Linked DNA regions of Oreochromis niloticus. The protein of the gene in region 1 interacts with the protein of each later gene in a pairwise test. Links are inferred from orthologs where the notes say so. Each region holds a gene or a part of one and is shown on either strand. Other genes may lie near its edges.

Region 1 (10,702 bases):
AAGTTTTGCAAGTGCTGAGAATGTGCACACAGCTTAGGGTGAAAAAGGTGCAAGATTTCCAGTTGAAAAACCTGTAATCAGAAAATAAAAAAATTATAGTTGGACTGCTTTACGTGCTAAATTACTAAATAAATATTAATAATTAAACTCCAGGTAAGAAAGCAGGAAGAAATATAATTTAATCTTTACTGACTGACCTTCAATGGACCGGGGTTCTTCAGCTGCACATATTTCTCCAGAGCTCCTCTGCAGCGCTCTACAATGTGCTCCATCTGAAGGTAGCTGGCAGCCGTCAGGTAGTTTACGATCTCCTCTGGCTTGAACTGCAGGATACCAGTGTAGCAAGACTGAAGCAGATCACACACCACTGTGGAGCTGTACAGCATTGACACCTGGAGAAAAATCAGGAACACAGAAGAGCTTCATTTACTCTGAATAGGAGCCATAATGGCACGTGTGCTGACGTCGGCCTACCTGAAGCCTGGACGACGGGTTGAGGAGGAACTGATCTCTCAGGAAGGGTGAGCAGGCAGCCAGCACCACCTTATGTCCCCTGAACGTCTGGTTGTTACTGGCCACGATAGTGATGTCGCAGAAATGCTGGCGAAATCTCAGTGAATTCATGTGCTTCAGGGTCATGTCCCCATGTCCCGGGAGCCGGAAACACACCAACTCCATCTTCTGAGGAGAAACAAGAATCTGTAGGTGATTTCACTTCTTTAAATACGTACAGGTGAGCCTTTCATAAAAGATTAACAACACAAATCACTTATTAGACTCCCACAGTGTAATGTGATGAGGGTTTAAGAAAGGATATCATATCACAGGTTTGTATTCTGTTTATACTCAAGTGTCCACACTACAAGGTCAATGCTGGGAGCAAAGATTTGGAAACCGAAATCCCAGCAGAGGATTTCGGTTTCCAGCTTGTGCTGGAGTTCTCACTGTGCCAGCAAACACATGCCTCAGATTACTCCTATTATTTGTTAATGTGAGCATATATATATATGTACTAAATGCACAGAGGTTAAAAGGAAGATGATTCAATGGATTTCACAGAAAGATTAAAACTTTTTTACTTATCTAATCTGCCAATCATATAGCAGAAACTAAACACATTTAGACATGTAGAAATGGTCAACACACTTTAGTAAAGTTCAAATTGAGCATCAGAATGGGAAGAAAGGTGATTTAAGTGACTTTGAATGTGTCATGGCTGTGGGTGCCAGACAGGCTGGTTTTGGGAAAATCCCAGTAGATCAGCAACAAGCTCACAGGAAGGCAACAGTAAATCAAATAATGTTACAACCAAGGTATACAGAAGAGCACCTGTGAACAAACATGCCAAACCTCGAAGCAGCAGACCACACTGAGTGCCAAAAATGGAAAACAGAAGATTTGAAAAATGCTGCCTGGCCTTTTGAGTCTTGATCTCTGGATTTGGATGGTAGGTAACAATTTTGTATAAACATGAAGGCATGGATCTATACTGCTTGCCCTTCGGGGTTATCGTCTCCTGCACCTCTGATCTGGCCTCAGCCCAGCTGCTTTTTATGATAACTTCCTGACAGACACTTGCATTGCTCGCTCTTTCAACCTAACTGGATATCCTTCAATACTTTTAAGTAATCAGGTAAAGTCTATGGTTTTTTTTAATGTGCCTGTTCCCGGAAACTTTTCTCTGACTTCAAAGACACACTCATTAAAGATGCTCTTTTATATTGCTGGCTTTATTATTGGATAGCTGAAATGTGATCCAATTATAGGAGTATTTTATGTATTTTTTTTTTCTAAATAAAATATAGACTGGCTTTTTCTGCAGATATTTTGTTTATAGAGAACTGACAGTGACAAAAAGCATTTCCTTCAGCTGCACATTTCATAAAATTCACACACACCTTCGGGTCTCAAAGTGTGTAACAAATGTGGAAAGTGTTACAGATAATGAGATCAAACAAGGACAACGCAATACTGCCTATTGCCTAATAAAGGAAGCTTCCTAAAAAGAACAAAGCGCTGCAGAACAGGAATCAGCTGATGGTTTGTTTGAATAACAAATCTTTAAAGGGGAAATGAAACGAAGACATCAAAGTGGTGATTGTTAATCATCTGCTCCACTGACACTAGGATTAATTATTAATCTGTTATCAAAATAATTCATTTCATTGATTGTTTTTTTGCCTAACAAAAGGCCAAACATTCTCCAATAGTGATCAGCCAGTATTTTTTCTATAGATCTTACGGTTTTTATTTAAGGTGGAAAAAAAAATAAATGTTCTGATACTTACTTGTCAATATTCCTTCTTTTGTTGGGTAACTGTTTCATGCTTAGATCTGTCATTATTGGTGTAAGAGAAAGAAATTAAAATGCCACATGACCATTAAAACCATTAATTTGGCAAATAATTGTCTGATTCATACCTTCTTATCTTCACAAAATCTAACTAATGTGAGTAAACTCCTTTTCTGTAAGACTGAGCTAACAGTTGTCAAAATGATTTATAAAATATAGTATTGTACAAAAGTCTTGAGTCTCCCCTGATTTCTTTATATTTTGCTAGGAAAATGAGAAATGGGTGCAGCGATTTATTAAAATGTATGCAAACTTCCAAGTAGGGCTGCTCAATTAATCGAATTTTAATCTCGATTACGATCTGGGTTTTCAACGATCATTAAAAATGACTGAGCCGGTTTTTAGCACCTCCCTCGTGCTTTACTCTCGCGCTGCTCCGTGTGGCAAATCGAGCGCACCTCTCTGCGTTTCGAACACGCGTCACAACAATTAAGAGGACCCGAGGGAAGCTCGAAAAGCTCGGAAAGCTAAGCAGAAGTTATTTGGAGAGAGGATAATGGCTGCTGAAGAAAGAATGCCGTTGGTTGAAAAGAGAGGTAAAACGACTTCAGTGGTGTGGAAACATTATGGGTTCGCGGAGTCAGACGTGGATCAAATATTGTGCAGTATTTTGAAGTTCACTAAACATAGATGTTTACATTTTTCATTTATTTTTTATATTGCAAACATTTGCACTGTAATCAGTATTTGCACACTATTTTATATTATTTTTGACAATCTTTAAAGCCATTATTCAATACATTGTTATTGTTAAATAAATATCGTCAAATAATCGAGATCTCAATTTCAGTGAAAATAATCGTGATTATCATTTTTGCCATAATCGAGCAGCCCTACTTCCAAGGAAATGCAATAAAAAAGGGAAAAACAGAGCTTGTACATTCTAACAAGCTTGAAAGTCAACATTTGGTAAGACCACCCTGAACTCTCTTAAGCAGGTTTTCTTGTCATTTATTTAAGTAGTCTTCAGGAATACTTCAGGCTTACTAATGGCTTCTTTACAGCCACCTACCCACTGATATAATTCCTGAACAGTAGATGAATCAACTGGGGGGTCAAATGCATCTCTCGGGTCCTCTGTCAGGTCTTTGTCGGACTTTCAGATACTGTCCAACAGCTGCAGATTGTTTTTTTTCCTTCTTTGGACCTCTGTGTCTAGCTTAATCAATTTTTAAGGACACACTGCACACCAAGCCAAGCTTTGCCAAGTCTTCAGCTAGTAACTCTTTAGGAACACCTAGTTCATGCAAAAGTACCATTTTATATCTTTGAAAGTGTTATTTTTGGTACTTTTCATAGATTCAACTAAAAAGAAACAGGAATAAATTATGTGTTAAAGCAACAGGCAGGTAACAAAATGCCTCAAGATAAAATTTTAAATTGGTTCTTTGTGAAGTTGTCTGTTATGTGTAGACACAACAATGGTTCATCCCTTAAGTTAGGAGCCTTTTTTAAATGCTCGAATGAGTCATAGGTCAGTCTTGAGTTGCTTAACAAACAGACGCAAAAAAGTCTGTCAGCAGACAGAGAGTAGCAGATAACAACAGACTCAATAAACTGAAGCCAGTAATGTTGTGGGTGTGGAGTCTCTGACAGAGGTTTCAGAAAGGAGGATACTGTCCCAGTTATGGTCAGTATTGGCCAATCCTTCACACCCTCTCCATCTTGTGCTGGACAGCCACAGGAGCTTTTTCACTCCACCATGATGGACCTCATAATCATTCCTACCTAAAGCCAACGAATATCTCTTCCTTATCACACCTCACCTATTTTCACTTGTAATACCTTGTCTATACCGTACATAATGGGGTTTAAAAAAAACTATTTAAATGTAATATTGCACTTTGGGTGCCTTTTTTTAATATACAGTTTACATTTTCTATGTTTCATGTTCATATTTTAAGTCAGCGATTCAGATTCTTCCGAAAATTCAGTCTGTCTGTCTCTCAAAATGTTCAGATACAAGGACTGGACTGAAAGTGAGTGAAAAAAAGAAGACAACATCCTAATAAATATTTTAAAGAGCATTTCAGAAAGCCCGGAGAACTATTGCTCAAGACCACTTTAATACAAATGACAAGAAAGCCTGGCTCCTATAAAGAAATAACGGGTGGCTCAAGACTTTTGCATAATACTGTCTCTCAAGATAATGACAACAAAATAAAGGATGAAAACTGGTCAATTAGCACAATAAATATGTAGATTAAGAATGCTTCTAGTGGCCAACAAAAAATAAGATCCATGGTAGCCGCAAATCAAACTGACAAAGACAATTGAAAAAAAAAAAATCAGTGTTTTTCAATTTTGGTATAACACCAACTAAGGTTAAGAGGACCTATGGGAGGAAATTATATAATGCTAGCTCACTTTAGTGACATGTTATATTAATGGAATCCACTAACTGATGTGATATAAACAGGCTAATTATATCCATGCTTATCCATGTCATGTTTAGGACTTACAGACCCTGAAAAGTTAGACTGGCTAACATTTGAGCTTGAAAAGCGGATATTAAAAAAGATTACCGTTTCGTGCGTTTCAGCAGTAGCGGAGCCTATAATAAACTAGTAAAGGTGGTTATAAGCTGACTATAACACACGTTTTTTTCCTCTTTTCATTCCAGTCCAGCTAGCTAACGTTAGCCACTCACTAACAGCTCCCTTTTCGTGTCGTCTCTTCTTCTATCCAGCAGCAGTCAAACGAACAAAACCCCCTCAGTTATTGTCAAACTTTGTCGCCTGCTCACCTTCGCCTCTCCTCTCCTTGAATGCCTTGCGGGCTCTCCAGAAAGCAAATCGGGGTTCTTTAAATGAAGTGACCATTAAATGAGGAGATGCTAGCCGAACGGGAGCGCTGTCTGTTCATTCCTCCAGACGACACCAGCTTCTGCCTGGGTTTCTGTTTACTTTTCGGCCCCTTTATTTTTTTCGGAGGGGGGTGTAGGAGGCATACCTCGTGACAACAAACACAAACCGCCCCGTATTTCGCCGCTTAGCTGACTTTGAGTCTGTTTTCGCAAGCGACTTCGCCTCGCGGTCAGCCGTAAAACGACAGCACGTACGCTGATTTCTGATCAGCGAGTTTTAAAAAAATTTATGGGCACCACCCCCCTCCCACCATCCATCGAGGGGGCGGGGCTCCGGCCGTGACGCAGCACGCTCACATACGTTGACGGTCACTGGGAAACATGTCGGCATCTGAGACAACGACAAAGGTAGCTAACGTACTGCAGCTGAAAACTGCATGCTAAAGGAATTTACGTCTATTCGTCTACCTTTAAACTCCCCAGTTTACCGATACTGCATACTGCCAAGCTCCTCTTGACTTTGCATGTCGATTATAATAGCTTTTTTTATTGTAACCTAGGCTGCACTGCTAGCAGTGTTAGCCTGTAACAGTTTTGTGTTACCTGCAGGGTTACTCTTATCCAGATGATGTTTTGCTGCTGTTTTGTATTTGTTGACCAGTAACCTTTGTAGCAATCCTCTGTATAGCAAGTATTGCACCTCGATCTGTTTTTTAGGATATGTTTTTATTCGTAGTTGCTAGTTAGGAGCTTTTTTTTTAAAGTAAATGCTGCACCAACGAGAAATTCACAGGAAAAGAAATTAGGATTTTAAGCAGTCGGAGTTTAAAATCCCGTTTTAAATTCACGTTTCTTTTTGGTGTACTGTTGGAGTAAGGGGTTTTTCTTGGGTCGTGTAAAAAGCATGAATGGAATTACTGACTCATGGCGGCAGTTGATGTAACATGAAAGAAATTTTCACCTATTGGCCGACGGGTTTATTTTGGAGATGTGAAGGCCGAAAGTAGTGGGTTTTATTTTTTTACCTAAAATAACTTTAGAATGACATTAGTGACAGTTTTGATTGTACTGTCAAATGAACAGACACAACACTTTTGAGAATGATGCTCACAGTATCCTCATATCCTTGTCCTGCTGCCCCTGGTTGAGGTCCTGTGTTATTTGTCAGTAGGAAGCGTTTCTATCAAGAGAACTTGCTAGGCCCAAAAATATTACCAGGCCAGAGATACAATGAGTGTAGTGGATCCACATTTAGACCTCTAGAGTGCATGCTTTTACATGTACACTGGTGTGAAAAAGGCTGTCAAAGTCCTGTAGCTGAATCCAATTGAGCTGTTGTGGCAAGACATTAAAAAGGCGGTTCATGCTCGAAAACCCTCCATTGTGGCTGAATTACAACAATTCTGCAAAGCTGAGTGGGCTAAAATTCCTCCACAGCGCTACAAGGAGTTATTAGGTTTAGGGGCCAATACCTTTTTCACACAGGGCCATTTGGGTTTTGATTTTTTTTTCCCTTAATAACAAACAGCTTCATTTAGAAACTGCATTTTGTGTTTGCTCGTGTTATCTTTGTCTTATTATTAAATTTGTTTGATCTGAAACATTTAAGTGTGACAGACATACAAAAATAAAGGAAGGGGGCCAATACTTTTTCAAGCAACTGTATATTTTGCATGCATGCAAATATACAATATAATTTCTTTGTGTATTTATTCTACCAATGATTGGTTGAACTGCAATCATTTCATTAAATCATTAAAATAAGAGCCTGTTCTGTTATCAGTTTTACTCGTTTCACTTGTTTCTTGTTTTGTCCACCAGGAGCACCATGAAAATGACGAGTCAAAAACATCAGAGGAGTCATTAGCTGGGTCAAGTCAAACAAAGGAAGGTAATTCACCAGCTGGTTTATGCAGATAATGTTAATATTTGAAATATATTGAAAGACATTGCATTGGTTTGCAATTAAATGACCTGTGAATGCCATTTGATCTCATATGAGTACAGTGAATTGTCATATTAAAGAAATCAGACTGAGATGTTTTGAGCTTTATGACATGCTGCACATCATTGCACTACCATCAAGCGGCAGATTGTAGCATTATGCCCAAGAAATTATTTCTCCTTGATAAACTTTAAAATTCTTGCACTCCGGATATTCCTCAGATAATGCAGCCTTCACCTCATCTGCTGCTGCCACCAAGACGGAGCCCATGGGTGTTATGTCATCACTGTTGTCGTCCCAGCAGCCCGAGAAGGATGCTTCCACAGTCAGAGAGGAAGGAGAACAATGGTCCCCTGCCGCCTCCCCCCAGAACAAACCTGCTGCTGCAGGTGAGCTCAGATTGCATTAGCTGCTGTCGAAATTCTGAGTTGATTTCGTTGATTTAATCAGACTTAGTTTACAAACTGAGGAGATAATCCCTTTTGCTTTAATTTGTCAGGTCACACAGCAAATTCCCTTCTTTCGACGACCTCTTCGTCATTGTCGTCGTCTCCTTCCACATCTTCGACATTGTCTCCTGGCCGAGCAAAGATGAGCGTTTCAGGGCCTGGTAGCAGTAAATCTGTCCTTCCGCCTGGTCCTCCATCATCCTCCTCTTCTTCCTCTACAACAGCTGCTTCTTCTCCATCTGTCTCCCCTGCACCACCCAAGATCCATCGGGCGCGAAAGACGATGAACAGGCCTCCACCAGGGCAGGTGAGAGAGGAGCTACTCCTGTTTGGTATCAATCATATTTGGTAAATATATGGGTTTTCATGATTTATTATCTAGATTTCTACCAGTTGTTAAAGGTGCTTATTTTAAATTATTGTGTTTTAAAAATTGCTTTAAACCTTTCAAAATGACCTAAAGCTGTCAAGAATTTAAATGCCTGTGGAGAAATCCCTGCTGTGTGTCGAACAGGGTTTAAAACTTGGGGAAATTGGATATCATTTAGGAAAACAATGATATTTTTGTTCCTTTCCAGATTGATAGGCATATCTGGACAGTGTTCCTAAACTTGGAAAGGATCAAAAGGATATTTGTTCTTTCGGTTTCTGCTTCCATCACAAGTTTGGTCTTAAATTGCATTTAAAATGACATTAATATACCCACAAACACGCTTGACTAATTTTGTTCCTCAGATCAGTCAAATTGAGACACCTGTTGCATCTGTGACTCCTTCAGGATCTTCAGCCAGTCTTTCTTCTCACTCTGAACCTGGTCAGTAGGTCTAAACTCACAGTAAAAGAGTTAAATGAGCATTAACTACTGCTTTACTTTAAAACTAAGCCTTGTCATGGTTTGCATCACGTTGTTTTGCCTCTAAAGTTGCAAAGAGGAGGAGGCTGGATCCTTTATCAGACGGCACACCTGAGAGATCTGAAAATGTTTCCGATAACGCTCATAATGAGGTGAGACACTTGTTTTGGGGGTTTTTTGCAGATGTTTTAATAACAGTTGTTTGTGGTCCCTTTTATATCTGTCTCTCATCCTACTTTCAGGAAGGAAGGTCATTCCATAAAAAAGCAGAGTCTGAAACTGCACCCGGAAAGAGCATCAGCTCTGTGGGGAAGTCCGAGGAAGAAGTAGGCGAAAGAATTCAGATTTCTAGTCCGTCCAGGCGAGATTCTGAAAAGGTTTGAAGCCATCAAATGTAAACCCACATTACACTGCTACAGTGTGTTTATCACCTGAACTTTAAGCTAAAGTAAACTAAGCTTTTTTTGTGCTTTACAGTTTGAAGATGGTGAAGGAGAAACAAGACAGCAAGCTAAAGACACAGAGAGGCCAGTAAACACCTCAGATCACGTGAGTAGCTTATTGGCTTGATATTTGCTTTCTTGTTAAATACTCCTTTCCTCATTTTTCTATTAACTTCCTGTTTTATTACTCTGTTTACACCTGTACACGTGACTCTAGCCAGCATGGCCATGCATGTACTCTAGATATGCAGGGTTATCCACATGTCGTGACAAATGTCTTTAGCTCAAATAAGCCATCAGTAAGTTGCAGCGGGATCATTATTAAGGAGTTGGACCACGAAGATGCTGACACACTCATTATGTGTCATTAGACTAAGACACTTCAAGTTTAAAGTTGCTGTCTTGTCAGTAAACCGAGGAATTTGTACTTTTAAGGTAGACGTTTTGTGCTTATTTTCAATCCCATATATTTGTTCTTGGACTCTATAAAAGTCATTTTGCACACTATAAGAGAATCCATGGATGCAGCTCTTCATTATATCTACCAGCAAGGTGTTTTATCTCCCTTTAAGTTAGCTTTCTTCTGATTGGCTGCTCTTCGTATAAACTGGAGTCTTTTAGCTTGAAACTTTAACAACCTCAAAAATTCAAACTTTGGTTGGACTTTTAAAATAATCAGCCACTACTTAAAAACCACACTATTTCACAAATGTTATATTTTTATATTCAGATGTTTATTTTTTATTTATTTTTTATTTGCAGAGTTCAGAGTCTAAAACACAGAGAGTGGTCAGAGAGAGCGAGGAGTCTTCGTGGCCACTGTCCGATCAGGACAAAGAGAGAAACGCGGCTGACGTCGTGGAGACGGAGGGAGGTGAGTGATGTCATCTACTTCCTACTTTCTGAACCACACTCATCTGTCAAAGAGATTGGTAACCTGAAACACGTTCCTTGCAAAAAGAATGATTTTTTTTTTTCAGAAGATTTTGAAAAATCCAGGCTCTTAAAAAAAGCAAATTATTCACAATTAAAAACAATGCACCGCACACATTCATACATCACTTTTATATGCATAGAGGTCTTCAGTCCTTTATAATACACATCGATGCATGCATGTGGAAGGATTTAGAGTCAGTATCTTGCCCAAGGACATTTGCATACTGAAAAAGTTGTGACACAAACCACCAACCTGTCAATTAGTGGAAATGAAGCATGAAGAACATGAAGCAAGAAGCCAGAGAAACATTTTGTGTTGCATATTTGTGACACATTGGCATTAAGGGAAAAGTTAAAAAGATCATAGAAATTATCTAAGACAGCTGTCAGATAATGCATAGATCTGTGAGAAAAGGCCTAAGTGGCTTTTAAAATTTCAGTGTTGTAAAGCATTAAAAGCTGTGTAGCATGAGTGAAGAGCATCACGTTCCAGTTCCTTTTAGTGCTTACAGTTTTTTTGTTTGGTTTGCCCTCAGCAGGAAGGTCTGCAGAGTACACAGAGGTTCCCTTGGGTGCTCTGGACATTGCTGCTGCTGACAGTCTGACACTTTCTCCTCATCCTGGTAGGTGTAAGATGGATATGTTGCTCTAAAGTATATTATACCGTGGCAATAAAGTGGTGTTTACCTTTAGTGATGCAATCTACTGCTTTGGTTGTACTGAGCAGTTCAATTAGAGCGGTAGAACAGTTAGTTAACAGGGTGGAATTCATTTACTTTAAAAAAAAAAAAAAAGATTTATATTGAATAACACCAAAATCGCCCAATTATATTTTTCAAACCTAAGTATTGTCTTCTGTAACAGTTGAGGTTTAGATGACTTTAATGTTAACTGTTAAATCACAAGTCAAACCCTGC
Region 2 (10,038 bases), on another chromosome or scaffold:
ACGAGCTGCTGTTGGACACCGCGTACCTCCCTCCTCCCCCGACTGACTCACGCGCAGGCTATCATCACCATGTGTGAGAATCAGCACGACTGGAAGGACTATCCCTGACTGAAGAGGCTTTAATATGCTCCCCTCCTACATACACACACACACACACACACAAACACACACACACACACACACACACACAGATTCAGTGAATTCCACATTTTGCTATATTTCAAACCCAGTTTAAAATTGACTTTGTTCAATATTCGACAGCAACAAAAAAAAAAACAATCAAAGATGAGACTGAAATATCCCGTTCATGTAAAAACCACTCCATGTACCAGCACTCCGGCATATTATAGTCTTGTACATCTCATTTATTCTTGAAGGGCATTAAGTCTTTTCAATTATTTATGATGAAAGGCATTCTGGGGGGAAAATGACTGCAGTGTCCTCCATTTGGAGAAGTCACTGCAGATCTGGACTTTAACACTTTCATGGTAAGGATAAATTAAAAGCTGAACTACCAATGACAACAGAGTACACCCTTTTATCCTCGAATTTGTATTGAAGTGTTGTTCTCTTTGTTGGTATTTTCATGTACGCTGGTTAACGTAATGATAACCAATTATTGTTAAATTATTCAATCATTGAATCAGTAATAACCAAATTTATTGGATTTGGTTACACAGAAGAAGACTAGAACCAACCACAGTCTTGCTCAGTGTGGCTGGGGTCAGACCCAGTGGTCTCTATGAGTAACATCCACAGTTAGTTTGTTGAGATGAGGAACTTTTAGAAAAAAAATCCCACCAATCAGCCGACCTTCTATAAGCAAGCACTTGGTGACAGGGGGAAGGAAAAGCTCCCCTTTTAACAGGAAGAACCAGAATCAGATGGAGGGGCAGCCGTCTGCTGTGACTGGTTGGGCGTGACATACTCCACCAGTCTGACTTCTAAAGGTACCTGACAGCCAACGGGGAGTTAGCCAAAAGGTGCCGAGGACCGTAGGTTGGGCTGAAGATTTAGAACAAGTTTTTCTATCAGGAGATCTTGGAGTAGTCCAATCTGATCCCAACAAATCTCGTCGGAGGCCTAAAAACTGAAGTTCACCAGCGCTCTCCATCCAACCTGAGGGAGCTTGTTTCTTTTTGACTGCACAATAAAGACACCAAAGTCAGTTCACTGAACATTGATGCTAAAGACATTATTTCAAACAAACCCGCAGTGTATCTTTGACGGCTTAGAAAATAACCATCAGTACTTTCAGCTGACTAGAAACAGTATTTATTCAAAGCACCAGGTCCAAGTTCTTTGTGTTTTTCAGTACTAAGCTGGTATTAGCTGGTATTATTCATTGATCAGAGTTATAGTGATAACAGAAATGTTCCCTCTCATTTTCCACATTTTGTGCAACAATGTTCGCTCAGTTGTGAGAGGAAATAAACCACAACAGAGATAAGTGAAAAGGGTCAAAGCTATATAATAATAATTTAATTTATGGATGTTATTATTATCAATCAAATGTAGATACATTTATTGTGCGACATTGCTTTTCTGAAAACAAAGCTTTCAGAAATGCTTTCCCCACATGACATTACAAGTGAAAGCCTTTCATTTCACTTTCATTTCATTAGAAAAGTACATGAGGCTAACTTTCTCTGCCAGATAAACAACACTTTATCCTCACGATGCTGAGCAACATCACTGTCAGTGCGGCTGAGACAAACAGGGACTGTTTGCAGTGTTTGGAAACACAGACTTGAATATAGACTAAATCAATTAGCCAATAATTTGCCAACACCCAGGCTTAAGAGAGATCATTCTGCACAGAAAGTGAACTCCAGTTTTCCTGGAGGATTTTATTCTTTCATTTCATTACATTTCTACCCATCTGCCATTGCAATATGGCCGTGACAGCCAGCAAATCACGCCTCAGGGTGGCCATGCCAAGCTGACTAGCCGACTGTAAGCTGGCAGGCCGATCTCAGTGCAGTCCAGTGAACAGGGAACGCTGGGATTTGTTTTACATAACGTGTTTTTGTAAAGTATGTCATCACTAGTCTTGTTCGTGTTTTTTGGACATGTTGGGGACAGAGCTGCTTTGAGAGCTTGATGTAGATGGTTAAAGGTGTCACTTTCAGCACGCCCACACCTCTGCCGTTCCCCTCAGCTGTAACCAGGTGTTTTGACACTTTGTTTTTCAGCCCACTTTAGTGCTTTTCACGCACAGCTTTTTTTTCTTAACGTCACAGATTCAAACAGCAGTTTGACAGTCTACAAGTCCCTGGTGTGCAAAAAAAAAGGATAATGGAGCCAGATGTTTCTCTCAAGAGATGATGAGGAAAAGAAAAATGATTATTTTGCTTGAATTTGGATGGAAAAGTGATGTGGAAAATGATTTTATATGTGTCTAGTGTATGTTTTACCATGTTAATCTTTGTACTGTCTTGTCAGTCAATGCAGGTTTAAATAGTTTAGCACTTACAGGTATCAGTGGGTCTGGCAAGAAGCTGTGTTTTTACCTTTGTAGTATTTTTAATACAGTTACCTGACAAGTGTTGCTTCCTGTGCGGTTATTTGTCCTAACAGACCACCTAAAACATCAGTCCTCAAGATTAAGTAAGTGAAATTTTATTTTTTCTTACTCGGCACTAATTAGCAGGTTCACATGTCTGTGACAATAATAGTAAGAAAAAACAAAACAAGACAGCATGGCGGTGGCCGTAGTACTAAAATTAAGATTTCAAAGCCAAGTTTCACAAACCTACAGGTGATGTCAATTTAGGTATTTCCATCTTTTATATACAGTACTGTGCAAAATCATGAGCCATCCCTCATTTCCTTATATTTTGCTAAGAAAATGGGAACAATTTATTGAAATGTGCAAACATGCACCAAAAATTTAAGTAATTAAGGTACAAAACAGATTTTGTACAGTTCTAATTTGATATTACCTCCTTCAACACAGTCAGTCTTGTCTATACTTCAGTAGTCTTCAGGAATAATTCTCTACTTTGGATGTCGGCTGCCTTTTGTTCCATTTTTGTCAAGATGATCTGACTCTGCTCTGAGGAGGCCAGTCCATGACTGATTCCCATTTGTTCCTTGTCCAGGTTTCGTATTTATTTATTTTGAGACACTGCACATAATGTGGAGATCCCAAATATCTGTCCAAAAGCTCATTGAAAATCACCTTGTTGTACAAAAATATAGTTTTATGCCTGTCAAACTTGACATTTTTCATTTCATTCATTTGTTACCGTTTTCTAAGAAATGGTAACAAATGTAAGAAATGGTAACAAAAGTAAGAAATGGTAACAAATGATGCTGCACAGAGATGCTTAGTAACAAAGTGCGATAATATAAGATAATATTTAATATTCGTTCTTTTGCTAAGTCATCAATTATGTATAGACACAACAGTGGTTCATCCCTGGAGTTAGATGCCTTTTTTAAAACCCTTTTTTTAGGTGGAAGACTTTTGCACAATGGTGTTAAAGAGCTGTACAGTTAAAGTTAAGAAATACCTCTGCATGTTTCCTGAAGGTTACCATAAATGCAGAGCTGACATTTGCATCAAAGGACTGGTGCTAGACCACCAGTTCAAGTAATCCTCTAAATTTGTAATTTTGCACTGGAATATAAATAAAAAAAATATTTCATTAAATACTTGTATGATGTATCTTGTACATGTAAACGCTTTTTTTTGCTTGATTTTAAAGTTTCTTTATGGCTTCTTTTCCACCTCCTCTGACTGCGATGATCTATGAGAACATTCATGTCGCAGCACAGATTCACTGACCTTAGTACACACTCAACAATCCACACACCCCACAGAGGCTTTTCTAGTAAAATGGGCCGCTGGACAAAAGCCAATGAAAATGGGGATGTCAGCATTTTGGAGTTTTTTTTTTTTCCTCAGTCTCTGCTCTCATGTGATCTGCCCTGCATTTCCTTCCCCATTGTCACAGCAGAGGGCAGTTTGGGACATTGCTGTCAGGCCAATTTCACTTCCAGGCAGAAGTCTGATAACATGTCCTTTCTTCCAGGGCTTTAGGGTTACAAAATAATCAAAAGTTTGAGTCGAACAATGAAGGAGGTGGATTGAATAAAAGAAACAACGAAACACCATGATAGCAGGACCAAGGCCCTCTGATAAGTGGATTTTTCTGCATCGCAGTTCTTCGTTACTTTTCTTGCCTTTGGTTTCCAGAAACTCTTATCAAATCCTCCATTCATTTAAAAATCTTTTCACAGTGAAGAACCTGCTTTTAAAATTTACAACAAAAATATGCTTCAAAATATCAAAAAAAGAAACAACACATGCTGCCATCCAGATTACGCCTTCTTTAATGGGATGCTTTGTTTATTTTAAGTGAGACAATAACCAAAAGGATTCAGCATGTACTTTTCATTCATTCAGCATAAAATCATGAATATTTAGGAGCTGAAATCCAATGGAATTAAATGGAAATGGAAACTTCTAGATGACACCTTCTTTCTTTTTAAGTATTTTTTTTTCAAACTGTTGTTTAACCTGGAGAAAAAAAAAAAATCATGTTTAAATGCCTTCTCCAAGAAAGACATCAGTTCAGTCAGAAGAAGTGGCAAAAATACACACAAATAAATCAAGACTGAGATTCAAAAGCTTCCAGCTTATAGCACTTCATTGGTTAATTAAGTTAAGTTGCATTTTTATCAGCTTGACACAATCTGGTCATTCTCTTCTGATCGCTCCAGGCAGAAGAAGGTACAAAGGAACTTTAAGATTCTTGGGACCGAAGACAACCGCTTCCCATACTTTTCTGACAGATGCAGGTCACTAAGTAAGATGACCTTATTAGTAAGGATATGATTATATGAAGTCTTTAGAAGGACAAAGTAGACCAACCATCCATAACATTCAGCACACAGAGGTGAGAAGGGCTTTAAAACTCACAAATGATGAACCAGAGATGTATATGACATGTTTGTGAGCGCTGTGGATGCTACAGGTGGATTTTGTCATCTGTGGACAGAGCCAGAGTTACTGTCTCAAACATATATTGAACTATTCCTTTTAATAATCGAAAATGTGTTTAAAAGGTTTTATCCACTAAACCTTTGCTGAAGTTAGAGTTTGGGGGCATTTTCACACCAGTAAATAAAGGTCAGGGCTCAAGGTCAGATTATGAGACCAGAGTTTAGATTGTCACTTTTTTTCCCCCTTGGGAGACAATACAAGACTGTGGCGAGATCAAACAGCTTTGAGAACTCACAAGTTGGATATTTATCACGGAACAGAGAAAATATCTGAAAAAAAAGAGACAAAAAGTCAGTGTCAGAGGAACAGACCTCTGACGTCAGTGCCAGTGTTTTGTGCTCGGCTCATCATGTGACTCTTACTCAGTTAACTTCAGTGTGGAGCGCACAAAGCCCGACGCGTGTGGAAAAGAGGCTGACAATGAAACAAAGCTCACGTTCAGCACCGTGTCTGGCCATGACACTTCACTTTAATGCGCAACCAGCTCTGAAGGTTAGTGCGACTTTTCTGCACACGTCCCTCCGCTAACAGATAACACCTAACAGATAAATATCTGCTGAAGTCCTCCTCGCCCCTTTCATTTGTGTTGATAGTTCAGGAATGTGTTCATGCATGTGGAATAATGTTGGTTCAGCAGGTGAGGCTGCCTGTTGTTTGTTTGATCCAACTTTTCAGGCTTTTCATCTCGAGAATGTCAAGCATGAGTTCTCAAAACAAAACAGCTTGCTCCCTCTGCACCCCTTTTTCTCCACCCAAAACCTGTGGTGACTATTTTACCAGCAAACCCCACGTTCTTGCAGAGATAAAGAAATAAACGAGTTTATGCGGGGTGTATATGAAGCCTCTTGGCAGCTAACGTGGTCAGCTTCTTCCCCCTTGTGGTGGGTTTGGGTATTGCAAAAGCATGAGGCTCTAAGAGGAACTTAATCATCTGGTTTCATTATGATTTTAAGTAGATTGCTAAAAGGCTAAATACTAAATTAGATGCAGGCCACTTTAGCACAAAGGAAGTTCAAAGCATTACAAAGTATTTAAATGCAGATTTTAACATGGATAAAACTGAGTGAGAACTTGACTGGATTTATGGAAATCCCAGTATATACATGAAAATGACCAGAGTGCGTCCAGCTGCCTCATGCCTCACATGATGTCTATTGTTGTTCACACCTTCTCAGTATTGTTTTCCAGGCTTCCTGCGATCAATCCCCTGCTTGTGTCACTCTGACTCACTGTCTACATTTGCCGTGTCCTGTTCACCTTATGGAGCTTAAGAGGTTTATTTATCATGGTCAGCTGTAGAATGAAATCACCTTGTTCACTCTGAGTAATCAAAGCAAATTTACTAGTACAGCAAAAATAGATTTTTGATGCTTGATGCTGAGCTGTTTGCAGTGAAGTGCCGCGTGTTGAAATAATAACATATTGGAGCACGAAGAGTACATTTACAAGGAACAGTTTAGGCCTGAAAAATGATCAGTGTAAAAACGGGAAAGACCAGCAGAAGGTTTTTGGTTTATCTGTTTTTTAGGATGGGCGTAGGTGAAGGGATTAGCACCTTTGGGCCCGGGATTTGAATCTGAGTGGAGTTTACATATTTTCCCCATGTCTGTGCTGGTTCAAACTGGACTTCCTCCCACAGTTCAAAAGCATGTCGGTTAGGTTAACTGGTGATTCCAAATAGACTATGAGTGTGAATGGTTGTGTTTCTCGGCCCTGAAATGGACTGGCAACCTATCCAGGGTATAACCTGCTTCTGGCTCTATGACAGCTAAAATAAAGTGTAAAAAAACAACCCTCTGCATTTGATATTTTTCACTGTTTTTTCACTGTTTCACTTTACTACAGAGATTCCTTATATTATTGTGACCAGTAGCAGCACAGTAAACAAGAGTAGCCCACATATTTAGGGCACATATTTAAAACAACAACAATATTATTTGCGTAGCACTTTAAAAAAACACCCAGTTACAAAGTGCTTCACAGTTTGGATAAAACAACACATTAAAATAAGCCTGCAAAGCTCTCATTAGGACCTCATAGCTACCAGCACAGTACCAGTCTTCATGCTAAAATAAGCATGATGAATGAATTATGCAAAATGTGGAATGATTTCTTTTTAAATGCACATCCTGACTGGTTTTGATGGACTTTTTCTGATCGTTTAATGCAAAACATGCTTGGGCAGTCACGGAAACCCATTTAAGAGCCTATTTTCCCAGAAAAACACCACGCTGTCCCACTGCAATAATTTTCACCCACCTGGTAATTGTTTGTGATTCAGTGCAAATGCAGACAGTGTGATTCTAACCAGTATGCTACCCAGAAGTGAGATGCGTCAGATCACACATCAAATCTGCCAAAGCGTCCAAATGAACTCAGCGCCAGTGACGCACTGTCCGAGCCCCGTCGCCGCTCACTCTGAGTTTAACATGGGGCGGATGGAGGGAATCACTTTAGAGGATTAAAACTGTCATCTGGTTGGATTACAGCGAGCGCTTACCTGCCCATCTGTCACCTTCAAACTGTGGCAGACAGACTACCTTTGGATAGTGGAGGCCTCAATCCAGCCAGACAGACTGAAACCATGACACAATTGTGTTGGATGTTTGGAAGTATGCAGTGCCTTCATCCTGTGTTATATGACATCTTCTATTTGTAAAGAAGTGCCCGAAAACTCAGTGCATGTGCAGCTTTTCATTGAAAACCCACCTTGGATTCATTTTTAATAAAAACTCAAGGGAAATTAGGCAGTATAGAGACTTGGACTGATCAATATCACTTAATCATGAGCTGTAGGTGACACAGGATCTTTAGGTTGCAGGTTATTATTATTAAACAGATTAGACCCATGTACAGAATGAAAATGGTCAAAGTGCCCACTTAACTAAAGAGCTACATTAACACTTTTAGATTACATTACATGTACATGAATACATCAATCAGATAGATGTTCACAACCTGGCAACCTGAATGCTGATATTTTCCCCCCTCTTTTCGTTTAGCATTAATCATTCAGGAAATAAGATGGGAATCAAGAGATTTTAATAACCATGGTAAAGGTAATGTTTGATAATACAGCCCATGACTAAGGGCGTAATTCCCCTGTAACTAAATGTATTTTATTTGAAATTACAGTATAATAATATTTAACTACAAATACTTAATTTAGGCACACTGGAATTAGGGGGTACTCCGGTTTCCTCCCACAGTCCAAAGACATGCAGTTAGTGGGGATAGGTTAATTGGAAACTCTAAATTGCCCATAGTTGTGAATGTGAGTGCGAATGGTTGTCTATGTCTATGTGTTAGCCCCGAGACAGACTGGCGACCTGTACAGGGTGTACCCTGCCTCTTGCCCCAAGACAGCTGGGATAGGCTCCAGCTTCCTCGCGACCCTGAAAAGGATAAGCGGCAGAGAGTGGATGGATGGAATAAGGGGGTAACAAGTCAGGTTTGTTACCCCCTTACCTCCAAGCCCTGAAAGGTACAGTGTGCTAACAGTGTAAGGTGGGAAAATATTGGTTGTTTTTCTGTGAAATGACTGTGTACTTAAAATTACTTACATTATAATTTGTCCCCCTTTCTGCATAATACCCAGAATTTAGGCATTACATAAAGTTACTTACATTACAATTAAGTATGAAGAACGTTTTCCACTACGTTTGCACTCCTTAAAATTATGCAGCATTTGAAATTATGTACAGAATAATTTACATCTCCTTTCCTGTCATATACCTTAAGCTATACAATATTTCAAATTAATCAGGCACTACTTAAAATGAGGTACACATTATAATTACTTAAAGATTAATTAAATTTTCTTGCAATAATAATAATAATTTTTGCTTCCTGTAAAAATCTGATCTATTACCCCTTATTCTAATGCACCTACCTTTAAGTATTTGTAGATAAATATAATTGCATTGTAATTTAAAATATAATACCCTGATAAAGTGTAAAGTGTAAAGTGTGTTGTGTTAGTCCCCGAAGGGAAATTACTCCTCTGCATTTAACCCATTCACCCAGTGAAGCAGTGGGCAGCCACCAATGCAGCGCCCGGGGAGCAGTGTGTAGGGACGGTACCTTGCTCAGGGGTACCTCAGGGTAGCCGTTCAGTGGAGTCGAACCCCCGACCTTCCGATCATGGGGCAGACACTCTACCTACTGAGCAATTTAATTACAGGAGAATTAAGTGACAGGCTGTATTATAAAGTGCTACCAATTATTGTTCATCATTCCAGTGAAGGAGCCGTATATATTTTCTAAAAGTGTAGAGTCTATGCACTTTAAACATAGTTTTGCTTGGTGTAATAATCTGTCCTGTTTAAAAAAATTCCCTTCGTAACTTATTTACAGAAAAATACTTCCTCTTCATTTTACAGCGCCTTCACAAAAACGCTACAGAAACACAACGAAGTGCTGCAGCATGTCATACCTCTTTCATATGATGTGTGTGCTGACTGCAGATTTAAGACAGACTTGAATCATGTGAACTTTTGTTCTCCTTGTTCGCACTGTCTTTATTTCTCTTCCAGGAAACTGGTGAGTGGAGCTGACCTGGTTAGAGATGCACCACACCTGATCAGGCAGGGCTCAGGAGACTGTGGCTGAGGTCCAATCCAGCCAATGCACCCTCCCCCTACACACTTTCACTCTATCTGCACGGAGGAATGGTGCCCACAGTGCAGCTCTATCTGTCTTCAGCTGCCTGGCCGACTGAAAAAGCTCTTTGTGTTTTATATTCATACTCTTACGCAGAGACAGCATACTTATTCACATGACAGATTTACTTTCTTACTTTAACACTGCATCATTATTTAGATTGTTATGTAGTTTTGAGGCACATTGTGGCATGCATTTAAGAAAGAACAGTTTCATGAGTTTTGAGCCTTCTTCCTGAGCTCAGCTCATGTTAAAATGCTCAATTTTCCACAAAAATAATCAGTTTTTTAACTCACCTGGTGAAATTATTAAGGCTTATTATTGAGAGTGTGTCATCTTTGACAGACTGGTGGATGCCGATA
Region 3 (10,508 bases), on another chromosome or scaffold:
GTGCATATGGAAGGAAATTCTACTATTTTTAACCCCTATCATTTTTATTTTTTAGAACTTCTAGATTTTTGAAAGGGAGTTTTTCCTTCCCACTGTCGCCAAGTGCTTACTTACAGTCTGACTGTTGAGGTTTTCACTGTATTATTGCAGTCCTTGCCCTAAAATTTAATGTTGTTATGCCTTTGTGCTATATAAATAAATCTGAAATGAATTGAATTGAATTGAATAGATTCCTAGGGGTGTGTCAAAGGGCATTGTCAACAACCCATGAAAGTCTCTGCAGCTGCCTGCAGGGCAGACTCTGGGTCTCAAACTAAATGGAAGGACTTCAGTCTGCATCTTATGGCGGGTGTTTGGCTTCGTAGATCACAGATCTTTGTATTGTATCTGTCCAGATGTTAACGCCACTCAGGCTCATCCAGCTTCTGAGAAGCTCCAGCTCCCAAATATCCAGCTGCTGCCAGAATTCATTCAGGATTAATTATTAAATAACTGATAAATATCTTTTTGTTTTTTAATTTCACGTTTCTAAATTCATCCTCTGCAAACTTCAAATGAAATACATCAGTTCTGAAACTATAAATAAATGCTCCAGCTGTGGAAGTCTGTAGCTGGAATAAGTGTGAATCCTCATGTGAGGCTGAATGGTGGGAATGTTTCTTCCTGTTTGTGGCTCGAGTGTCAGACAACAACCCCCCCGACAGTACTCGCACAGCTGTGGGGGTTTGTTGTCTCTTTCCTCATCACGCTGCTTTCCTAATGAATGAACGACAAAAGCAGGTGTGCGCCAGCGAAACCGAGTCACATCCTGACAAACGATTCATAAAGTGACCTCTGCCCAGGTCTTCCCTACATGTTTATACTGAATCATTTCCATAACCAAATATGAGCTGAATTCATATTTCGCTCCTTACAAAGATGTTTGTGTGTTTGCCGACTCTCATGGAAATATGTTCCTGACACGCATGATGAAACTATAAAAATGGCTTCAGGAGACTTCCTTTTTCCATTCCTTGATTTGAATCTGTAGCACCAGGTTGGAGATGTGGGCAGTAATGTGGAGCCTTGGAGAATGTTACAGATCCAAGCAGCAGATCTGAGTGGGCTCATTCCTTTCATTTTCACATCAGTTTGCACAGCGTGCACATCATAAACACATTTTGGATTCTTTCTCAGCTTTGATCAAATGTTTTTTAGGGCAAGTAGGACACTTAAACATCGAATACTGGGGATTTTCTTCTTCTAATGAAGCCAGAAAATTTTCTACCTGAGTGTTTTCAGAGTTACAGGCTCTCAAAGTACAAAGAACTATTGGCCCAAATGTGGCACTTTTTACTCGTTTTATAGCCCTCTTAGCTATATAAGTTCAGGACATTTCCACGTTATCGGTTTAAACACAAGCAGTTCATACTATGAAGGTACTACAGCTGATTGTGAGGGGGTCAGGAGGAAACGTTTCACAGGAATGGCCCATATGAAGGAAATACATGAAGTTTATATCAACATAAACATTTAATGTTTGTCCAAATAATGTTTGCATAATGTTACTGTGCTAGTGTTAACAAGCAGAACTGTTCAGAGCCTCACACATGCAAGCATGCAGGCCTACAGACTGTTCAGAACTACCTGCTGGGTTCAGGTGTTTGAAGTTAAACCTATCTGGACATTTTTTTTTTCCAGACATTTTTTTCTGGGCGTCTTTCACTACTCGGGTTAAACATGATATATAAGTCACTTATATAACTTAAAAATGTTATCGTTTTGCTTTTGTCAGTATTTTATTTGTTTCGAGTAAATCAGTTTGGCTGAGATTAAAGTTCTAGTTTTTACACAGCTGAATAAACGTCAAGCAGACAACTGATTATCAGAAGTGTGAGATGCTCGAGAATATACTCCGGTGTCCTGTTATATTTTACCTAGCAAGGAGCAGACGGCTGAATTTATTAAACTTCACCTAAACAACCTGCAAATTTCATTAAAATTTAATAAACTCTCATCTTGTCTTTATGTTTAGTTAGCACATACCTTAAACACTTAAAGCTGTAAGCTAATGATAGTTGTATAAGAGCAGATGCATGCTGGTGCAATAAGCTGTACGTTTTACATCCAATGGATGCATGATCTGATTAGTCGACTAATCGCAAAAATAATCGGTGACTAGTCGACTATCAAAATAATCGTTTGTGGCAGTCCTACTACCGACCATTTCCATGTACACAAAGGATTTTCCATTTTGCAGACTGGAGGGGTTCACACCGGAAACCTGCAGTTCAAGTTCCACATGCGACAGACTTCAGCTGGGATTTTCATCAGTGGCACAAACCCCAGCTGATGGAGATCCATACGGCCTCATCTGGGCTCTGAGCTGATCCCTGTTCAGCTTTCTAAGGACTGACCACACTAAAAACCACCTTCTTCCAACCTGCCAGGAGCATCTTCCAGCCTGATGGGAGCACCATGTCAGAAGACATGACAACACAGAGCCTCGGAGAGATCCCCAAATTAACATCTTGGGCCCATGGACACATCTTAATCTGATCCACAATCTATGATCAGTGCTTAAAAAGCAGGTGGACAAACAGAAGCCTACAAACTGTGATTAACTAACAGCCACAGAGATCTGCAGCAGTTATGAAGAAGAGTCAACATTGTAAATGACTCCTATAAAAGTCTCTAACAGAAATGTAAAAAATAAATAAAAACTGATGAAACACAAACTCTGTGACTGCAGTTATAACGAGAACCAACTCTGTTAAGTTCAGCCAATAGAAACTCGTCATGCTCAGTGTCATAAGTCAGATTCAGAGACGCTGAGCACAACATGGAGGAAGTGCTCAGATATACAACGACCTCCCAGAGGAAGAGGAAGAAGGCGAGTTTAAGTAAGATGTTCTCACTGGTTCACAAATTCACTTTGTGACAGAGGTACAGCCTCTCGGGGTTAACTTCACTGTGTCTGTGATTGTCTGAGGTGTTTTAGGGAAATACGTCTTCAGCTGAGCTGTGTTGTGTGCCATAGAACCTGAGAAAAACTGAGACACTTCATTGTGAGCTCAGATATCTGAAGCATTCAGATGAGCTAAAACACCAGCTTATTATCTATTATTAACAATTTAACAGCTTCTTTATATATACAAAAAAGGGGTTTTACTAAAATATAACAATCCTGGTGTTCCTCTGAAGAACAAGCATCAGGACTGGGATAAAAGTGCAAGCAAAGAATTCACTTTTATGTATCAAAAGACCAAAAATATGAGGAAAGTGCACAGGACTTCGGTTTGACTGTGTCTCAATCTCCAAAAGTTGATTCTGTTCATCTGGACGTAGCGTCTGTGTCTCAACTACAAACAAGCAGCCATACTCAAAGATCCTGAAGGAGGAAGAACCTGTAAAACTGATTATTGATTTGATGAATGAATTAATCTCAGGATAAAGCAAAATAAGTCTTTAAACTGGATCCCATGAATGAGTGAAAATGGCTTCAGATTTCAGTCCAATATTTAAAAACCTCATTTGTTCAGTTATTTTTTTCTGTTACTATCCGAGTGTCTGTTAACTTTTTAAAAAAGGTTTACAACAAGAAGGAAATCTCCTCCTCAGTGTCCCATGTCTCACTCTGCTCCCTTTAAAAACGCATCACATAAGTAATATAAACATGAATACAAACCACAGCTGAGCAAACAAACCTCACAGGGGCACCAAAGACAGGACTATATGGAAAACACAGATCAGATTTAAACCGGTTATTCTTTTTAAAAACGTTTATTCTGTGTAAAACATCATCGTGAGAGGTTCATGATGGAAATCATTAATCCTGCTACATAAACATGCTGTGGGCTCCCACAGTGGCTTTTTAAAACTAATTTAATCCACTTACAATAAATGTTTGACTTATTTAAATGCAGTTAACTAAAATTCTTTATTCTTATATGATTGTAAAATATTAAATCAAAACAATCATACTATTTTAAAAGTCCCAGCTTTCATTTGAAGCTGTAAAACCTCGTTTGAGTGGGTTGATCAGTGATTTGTAATCTTTACTGCTGGATGTAAGCATCCCTGCGTGAATGTGTGTCTGTTTGTGGGGATGTCTAACTTTCTTTAATATTTGAATTTTATCCTATATGTGAAGCACTTCGTACCTTTGTGTTACTTTGATTAAAACTGATACATGTTAACCACACTGTGTATCCGCAGTAGAAACGAAGTTGCGCATTAAGATTTTCCAGAGTTTAGGGAATCATTAATAACCTGTAGGGATTACAATAAGAGTATATGAGGTTATAAAAGGAGCAGGGACCCCTGTTAAAGTTTGCTAACGGTCCTGTGGCGCTAACGGTTTTAATCATTAATAAACATCCTTCCTAAACTCACCCAGCAGCAGAATAACGGAATAAACTCTGAAAATAGTGAATAGGTTTGTGACGTGATGAGCAGCCTTTCCGTAAACCACCCGGAGCTCCACAGCTCCAGCGGGTTACGGTGGTCCGCCTGGCCGGCCAGGGGACCCCGCACAGCGGTCTTACCTGGAGAAAGCTTCCGCTGTTCGGCCCACACGGCGCCCTGGAAAAAGGCGAGAGACAGCAAGCAGAGAAGAAAACAGGAGGACATGTTGGATGTTTGGAAACGGCTCCCTTTAGACTGTAGGCCGTAGCTTTAGTCCACTCTTTCTCCTCTCTCCCCAGCCCTCTCTCTTCACGTTCACCGCTCAGTCGGCACTCAACTCTCGCGATACTCGTCACCTTTTCCGACTTTTAAGATAAAGTCGACAGAAACCGCAAAAAGCTATCCAGCCAATGAGAGCAGAAATGGCGCGATACAGCTTTGACGGACAGAGCTGGTATCCAATCAGCGCAGATAGTCGGAAATCCACCAGCCAATAAGAGGCAGACAGATGGGAACTTTTTTTCTCTCCGTTTTTCGGTGGGCTAAACCACAGAAAGTTCGTGAAAAATGGAGTACGTGAATCTTTGCCACGTCTGAGGCTTTCAGGAGAGGGAGGGAGAGGGAGAGACATAGCGAGGACATGGAAAAACGGAGAGAGAGCGTACGTCGGCAGAGGTTTTATATAGCTTTAAAGTTGCATGTCTGCAATTATAATGATGTTTAATCATTATAATTAGACCCAAAATGTAATCATAATTTAGTATTTATTTACATAATTTATTTAAGAAACAATTAACATTTTCCTAATGAAATATTAATACTGTGAGTTCTTTTACTGACATTCAGCATACATAGCATTCACTGCATGAATAAACTTTCAAAATCGTTTTTCTTTAGCTCTTTTGTAAAAAAAAAAAAAAAAGAAAGAAAAAAAAAAAGAAAAGAAAAGAAAAGAATCACTTTCTCCCAAATAATTGACTCAAAATATAAAAGTAAAGAGCTGGGAGAAGAGACTGCAATCATAACTGTTCTGTAAATACAGCAATCCAGCATTTATTCTACATTTACCATCTAGTAAGCTAAAAGCATACCTTATTAGAGGGTGGATGTATGGGATGTTCTAAACTCTAGATCACTGGTTTCTTTCTGTGTGTCTCAGGATTTAATAAAGCTACAATCTACACCACAGTGTCACAACAAGGGGCCCAACAATACACAGTGTTAATCAACTGGGACCAGGAATAAGATAAGATAAGATAAGACTTTATTGATCCCACGGAGGCGAAATTTGTGCTGTGTTTCCTTGTTCTTGTAACATTGACAATTAAATCTATTCTATTTTAGTTTAAAGACAGTATTTAACTCTTTGTACTCTTTAACTCTTTAACTCTTTACTCAAGATATGAAAGTAAAGAGCTGGAGAAAGAGACAGTAGCCACACTTTGTTAGCAATTACAAAAATCAAACATTTAGTTATTGTATTTTTAATTTTTATTAAACAGATTTCAGTCATATCACAGTAATCCCTGCATTAACTAGTGGGAAGTGACCATGCTGAAGTCTGGAACATATAGCAGGATGTTTTAACAAAACATCCTGCTATATAATGTCAAATATCACTGTAATTGTCAATATTATTCAGTATATTGTAAATTCTGTGACAGACTGGTGACCTTTCCCGGTTGCCATATGACAACTGAGATAGGACCACTCCCCCATTAGTGATGGGAATTCCGGCTCTTTTTAGAGAACTGGCTCTTTCGGCTCCCAACCGGCTCTTCAGGTTGTTTTGTTGCTTTAATTAATTTATTATCAGCAACAATATAAAATTATACACAAAAGGAATTAATAATGTTTAAAAAAAAGTGGTTTTATTTATATATGTTTATATATAAATATATATGGTGGCCTGTAGAGACAAAGTACATGCAAACTCCAAAACACATTGCTAAACAAAAAGAAGATGCACATTCTCTGTCATATAGGCCTGGGATGATTTTTGGGCGAGTCTTTTCCTCCTTGGAATTGCATAGGATTCACTGCATGAATAAACTTTTTGAATACTTTATCATTCGCAACTGAAAATAGTTGTGGATGATTACTGTTATAATAATAATAATAACTATACCTTTTTAATGTGATGTTGTTGTCTCTTGTTGTTGTCCCTGGCTCTCTTTCTCTCTCTTTCCCTCCCGCTCTGTTCCTGTGCAACTGTGAGTGTAACTACCGCCCCTCCCCTCTCTGCTCAGCGCAAAGCACAAAGCTCACGTGCAGAGTGAAGCGAAAAAAGAAAAGAAAAAAGAGAGAGGATGGGAGAGAAAAAAAAACACGGCTCGCGTTGTTCACTTCAAAGATCCGGCTCTAAGAGCCGTTTCGTTTCCGACCGACACATCACTATCCTCCATCCCCTCCCCCACCATCATGTGACAGGGTCGATGCTCTGTCTCTTCCAGCATTTTGTTTATAGAGAGCGGTAGAAAGGTTTTGAAATAACTTGCAGATTCTGGGAAAGTGACAGTGAAGTTTTTTTTTGTTTGTTTTTGTTGCTCAAAATGATTGAAAAAGCAATCTCTGATTCCAAAACAACAGTAAGTAATTCTTATTTCTCGATCGATATGGGAATGCTAATGCTAATGCTAATGCTAAACTCATAAGGATTAAAGTCACACAATCTTGTTTTTAGATTATTGATCTGAAGTAAAATTTTATAGCTCTGCATTTGGAGGCAGGAGGGACATTAAGGTTATATGTCGCTTACGGAGTTCAAGTTATTATCATTTTTACTCTTTCTTTGGCAACTTTAACACAGATGTTCAGTCAATTTTGGACGGAGAGTAATGAAATCTGCTTAAACCGGCTTACAACACTCAACGGCATTTAAACAGCGCCTACACAGCGCTCTTCACAGAGATGCTGCGCAGCCCTACTGTTTTGAAAAACCAAAATGCCTAATCCTCGAGCAAATACAAATCTATATCCCTGTGGTCGTAACGTTTTCCATCAAATCAAGAAAAAGCAATTAGGAAAAGATATAGCAGGCTATTTTTTTTTTTTTGATAAATTAAAGGCAGTCAGTATCCTATCACCAGAAGCTGTGATAACTGAAGGAGGAAAAAGTGCAAGCCTAATTAGAATAAAAACAAGATGCTCCAAAGAGTTATCATTGTATTGATTAAGTAAATGTCTGTCAGCAACAGGTGTGCGCCCAGGTTCAAGTGAGTTAACTCTTCTGCCCATTGTTTACTATACCTGTCTGATACTACTGAGCAGTGAGCCTCACGGTGGTGGGCTGCTGTGGAAGTGAACAGTTAATTTAACCGTTCTGCTTTGTGTTGTTTCCCTTTTCATTTTCTTCAGACAAACATCTCTGCTGAAACAGGACAAAATGTCACTCTGCTATGTCAAGCTCCAGACAATATAGTCATGACTAGGGATGGGTACCGGTGTGGCACCGGTTCTGACATAAACGGTAGTAACCAGACCGAAAAGCAGCGCACATTTCGGTGCTTTATTTCGGTGCTTTTTTTTTTCCTGAGCCAATTCTAGCCAATCATTTTACATTTCCGAGGATAGTAGCCGGGGCCAGGTACGCGCGTTCTTTTAGAGCAGAGCTACAGATTAAAAATGTCCAAGGAGAAGCGGTCAAAAGTCTGGCTGTACTTCACAGCAAAAGATGCAAACTCAGCAGCCTGCAACAAGTGCTTTAAGCTGATACTGTGATACTGTCAAAGGAGGTAACACCTCAAATCTGATGAAACACCTGGCGACGCATAGCGGGGTTTTTTAAAGCCGAGAAATGCGCTGTGTTTGATAGCTTGCTGCGAGACCTCACACCGTGCACATCTACTGCGGGTGTGGTGCCTGTTATCGGACCCGGAGTTAGCAACATCCCCCAAAAACCCGAAGAGGAGAGTCCTGGCCCCTAGCCCTGCCAGTGTAGCAGAAATGATGAGGATGATGATGGCAGCAGCAGCCGTTCTTCTCTGCGTGAGTAGCTTCATGTTGTTCGTGTGTAATTAACGTTGAGTACGCTAACCACGTTATTACATTAATGCATGTAAGGTGAACTAGCAAACACCGTCGTAGTTACTGTCTTCTTGTTTGATGGCAGATACTCCCTTCACCCTGGCCAAAAAGGCTAAAATGACCAAAGAAAAAGTGGAAAACAATTAAACATGAGAGGGTTTTGGACCAATTTTGTGTTCTCCATTCTTTAAGCACTGGTTTGAGCACCGTTTAAGCACCGTTTAAGCACCGGCACCGTTTCAAAAGTACCGGTTTGGCACCGGTATCGGATAAAACCTAAACGATACCCATCCCTAGTCATGACTCTTGTAAAGTGGATAAAACCAATGGTGGAGAAATATGTGTGTTTATTACGTGATGGTCACGTTCATTCAGAAGGATCCATCTTTTCAAAACTGGGTTTTTTCTTTCATGAATGCTACATTATGGAATTTGATTCTGAAGAATGTGATGAATAATGACCCTGGAATATATGAGTGTTGGGTCTACATGAATGAAACATGCTCATGGAAGCTCATCAACAGCACCAACCTGAGTGATGTTGATCCTCTAGGTGAGTGAGTAGAGTGTATGTGTGATCCATTTTCATGCTACACTCTTTTTTGTGGGAATATTAGTACTTGTTTCTGTATAATATTTCTTTCAAGATGTTTTTATGCCAGCAATTTTCTAATAGTTTTAAAACTAGTTTTAAAAAACTTTAACATCTCAGTGTATTTCAGGTTTCCACCAAATTAAAGTTAGAGCTAAAACTCTTAGAGAGAAGAACTGCAAGGCCAAACTGATTCATTAAACCACAAATTCTGGTTTCTAAAAAATGTACTCGGTGAAACTATAACCATAAGTGTGTCTCTGGAGACCAGACGGTGGTTAAGAGGTTAAAAGCTGAGTGAGTAGAGTTGAGTGTGTGTGTGATCAGAGGTGAAGCTGCTTCCTGGTTGTTGATGTTTGTTTCTAAAGATGTTGTTGATGAGACTTTGTAGAAAGCAGCTGGTCTGAGTGATGTGATCAGAGTGCAGTAGATAATGTCTGACAGCAGTTTGAAGAGGAAATGGATTCTGTTCTGTTCTTCACTCATCACCTACCTGACAGCTGACACCTCACACCTGTTTCTCACCTGCAGGTCAGACAGGAGGACACACAGAGGATGAAGGGAAGGACCCTAAATCTGTTGGACTGATCATCGGTCTAACAGTTTTTCTGCTTCTTGTTGCTGTTGGTGGGTTTTGGATCTGCAAATGTAGACAACAGAGAGGGGAAAGAAACCAGCCTGCTGTTCAGTTGCAGTAGGTTTTTACAAATAAATAACTGAAAAGTGGAGTGCGCATAATTATTCAGCCCCCTGAGTCAATACTTTGTAGATAAGGCAAGATCTGAAAACTGCTGTTCACAAACGCTGTCCATCTAATCTGACTGAGCTGGAGCTGTTTTGCAAAGAAGAATGGGCAAGGATTTCAGTCTGTAGATGTGCAAAGCTGGTAGAGACATACCCTAAAAGACTGGCAGCTGTAATTGCAGCAAAAGGTGGTTCTACAAAGTATTGACTCAGGGGGCTGAATAATTACGCACACCCCACTTTTCAGTTATTTATTTGTAAAAAATGTTTGGAATCATGTATGATTTTCGTTCCACTTCTCACGTGTACACCACTTTGTGTTGGTCTTTCACCTGGAATTCCAATAAAATTGATTCATGTTTGTGGCTGTAATGTGACAAAATGTGGAAAAGTTCAAGGGGGCCGAATACTTTTGCAACCCACTGTATATATTAGTATAATATTTAGTCAACCACCAATTGTGCAAGTTCCCCCACTTAAATGACAGAAAAAAAAGATGAGAGAGGCCTGTAATTTTCATCACAGGTATTCCTCAACTATGAGAGACAACATGAGAAAAAAATTAAAATCACATTGTCAGATTTTTAAAGAATTTTTGTATTTGCAAATTATGGTGGAAAGTAAGTATTTGTTCAGTAACAAAAGTTCATTTCAATACTTTGTTGGCAATGACAGATGTCAAATGTTTTCTGTAAGTCTTCACGAAGTTTTCACACACCATTGCTGGTAGTCCTCCTTACAGATATATGTTCTCTTACAA

The links.
Region 2: the proteins of ehmt2 (region 1) and rd3 interact in binary tests that used the Homo sapiens proteins (3 or more experiments, as listed by UniProt). The two-hybrid records come from large-scale screens. The link is inferred for Oreochromis niloticus from reciprocal best matches to the Homo sapiens genes EHMT2 and RD3.
Region 3: the proteins of ehmt2 (region 1) and plod3 interact in binary tests that used the Homo sapiens proteins (3 or more experiments, as listed by UniProt). The two-hybrid records come from large-scale screens. The link is inferred for Oreochromis niloticus from reciprocal best matches to the Homo sapiens genes EHMT2 and PLOD3.

What each region holds. Positions count from the first base shown.
Region 1 is NC_031985.2:15,479,412-15,490,113, reverse strand, and holds the start of ehmt2 (histone-lysine N-methyltransferase EHMT2), read left to right. Parts: upstream 1-5,450; 5' UTR 5,451-5,540; coding exon 5,541-5,567; intron 5,568-6,980; coding exon 6,981-7,050; intron 7,051-7,325; coding exon 7,326-7,493; intron 7,494-7,603; coding exon 7,604-7,860; intron 7,861-8,288; coding exon 8,289-8,367; intron 8,368-8,475; coding exon 8,476-8,558; intron 8,559-8,648; coding exon 8,649-8,783; intron 8,784-8,883; coding exon 8,884-8,955; intron 8,956-9,611; coding exon 9,612-9,723; intron 9,724-10,321; coding exon 10,322-10,408; intron 10,409-10,702. Other genes in the region: zinc finger and BTB domain-containing protein 12, read right to left, coding at 198-392, 475-678. UniProt on the Homo sapiens protein: Histone methyltransferase that specifically mono- and dimethylates 'Lys-9' of histone H3 (H3K9me1 and H3K9me2, respectively) in euchromatin.
Region 2 is NC_031980.2:13,525,786-13,535,823, reverse strand, and holds the start of rd3 (protein RD3), read left to right. Parts: upstream 1-5,351; 5' UTR 5,352-5,506; intron 5,507-9,549; 5' UTR 9,550-10,038.
Region 3 is NC_031967.2:75,610,695-75,621,202, reverse strand, and holds the start of plod3 (multifunctional procollagen lysine hydroxylase and glycosyltransferase LH3), read right to left. Parts: upstream 4,753-10,508; 5' UTR 4,612-4,752; coding exon 4,527-4,611; intron 1-4,526. UniProt on the Homo sapiens protein: Multifunctional enzyme that catalyzes a series of essential post-translational modifications on Lys residues in procollagen. Plays a redundant role in catalyzing the formation of hydroxylysine residues in -Xaa-Lys-Gly- sequences in collagens.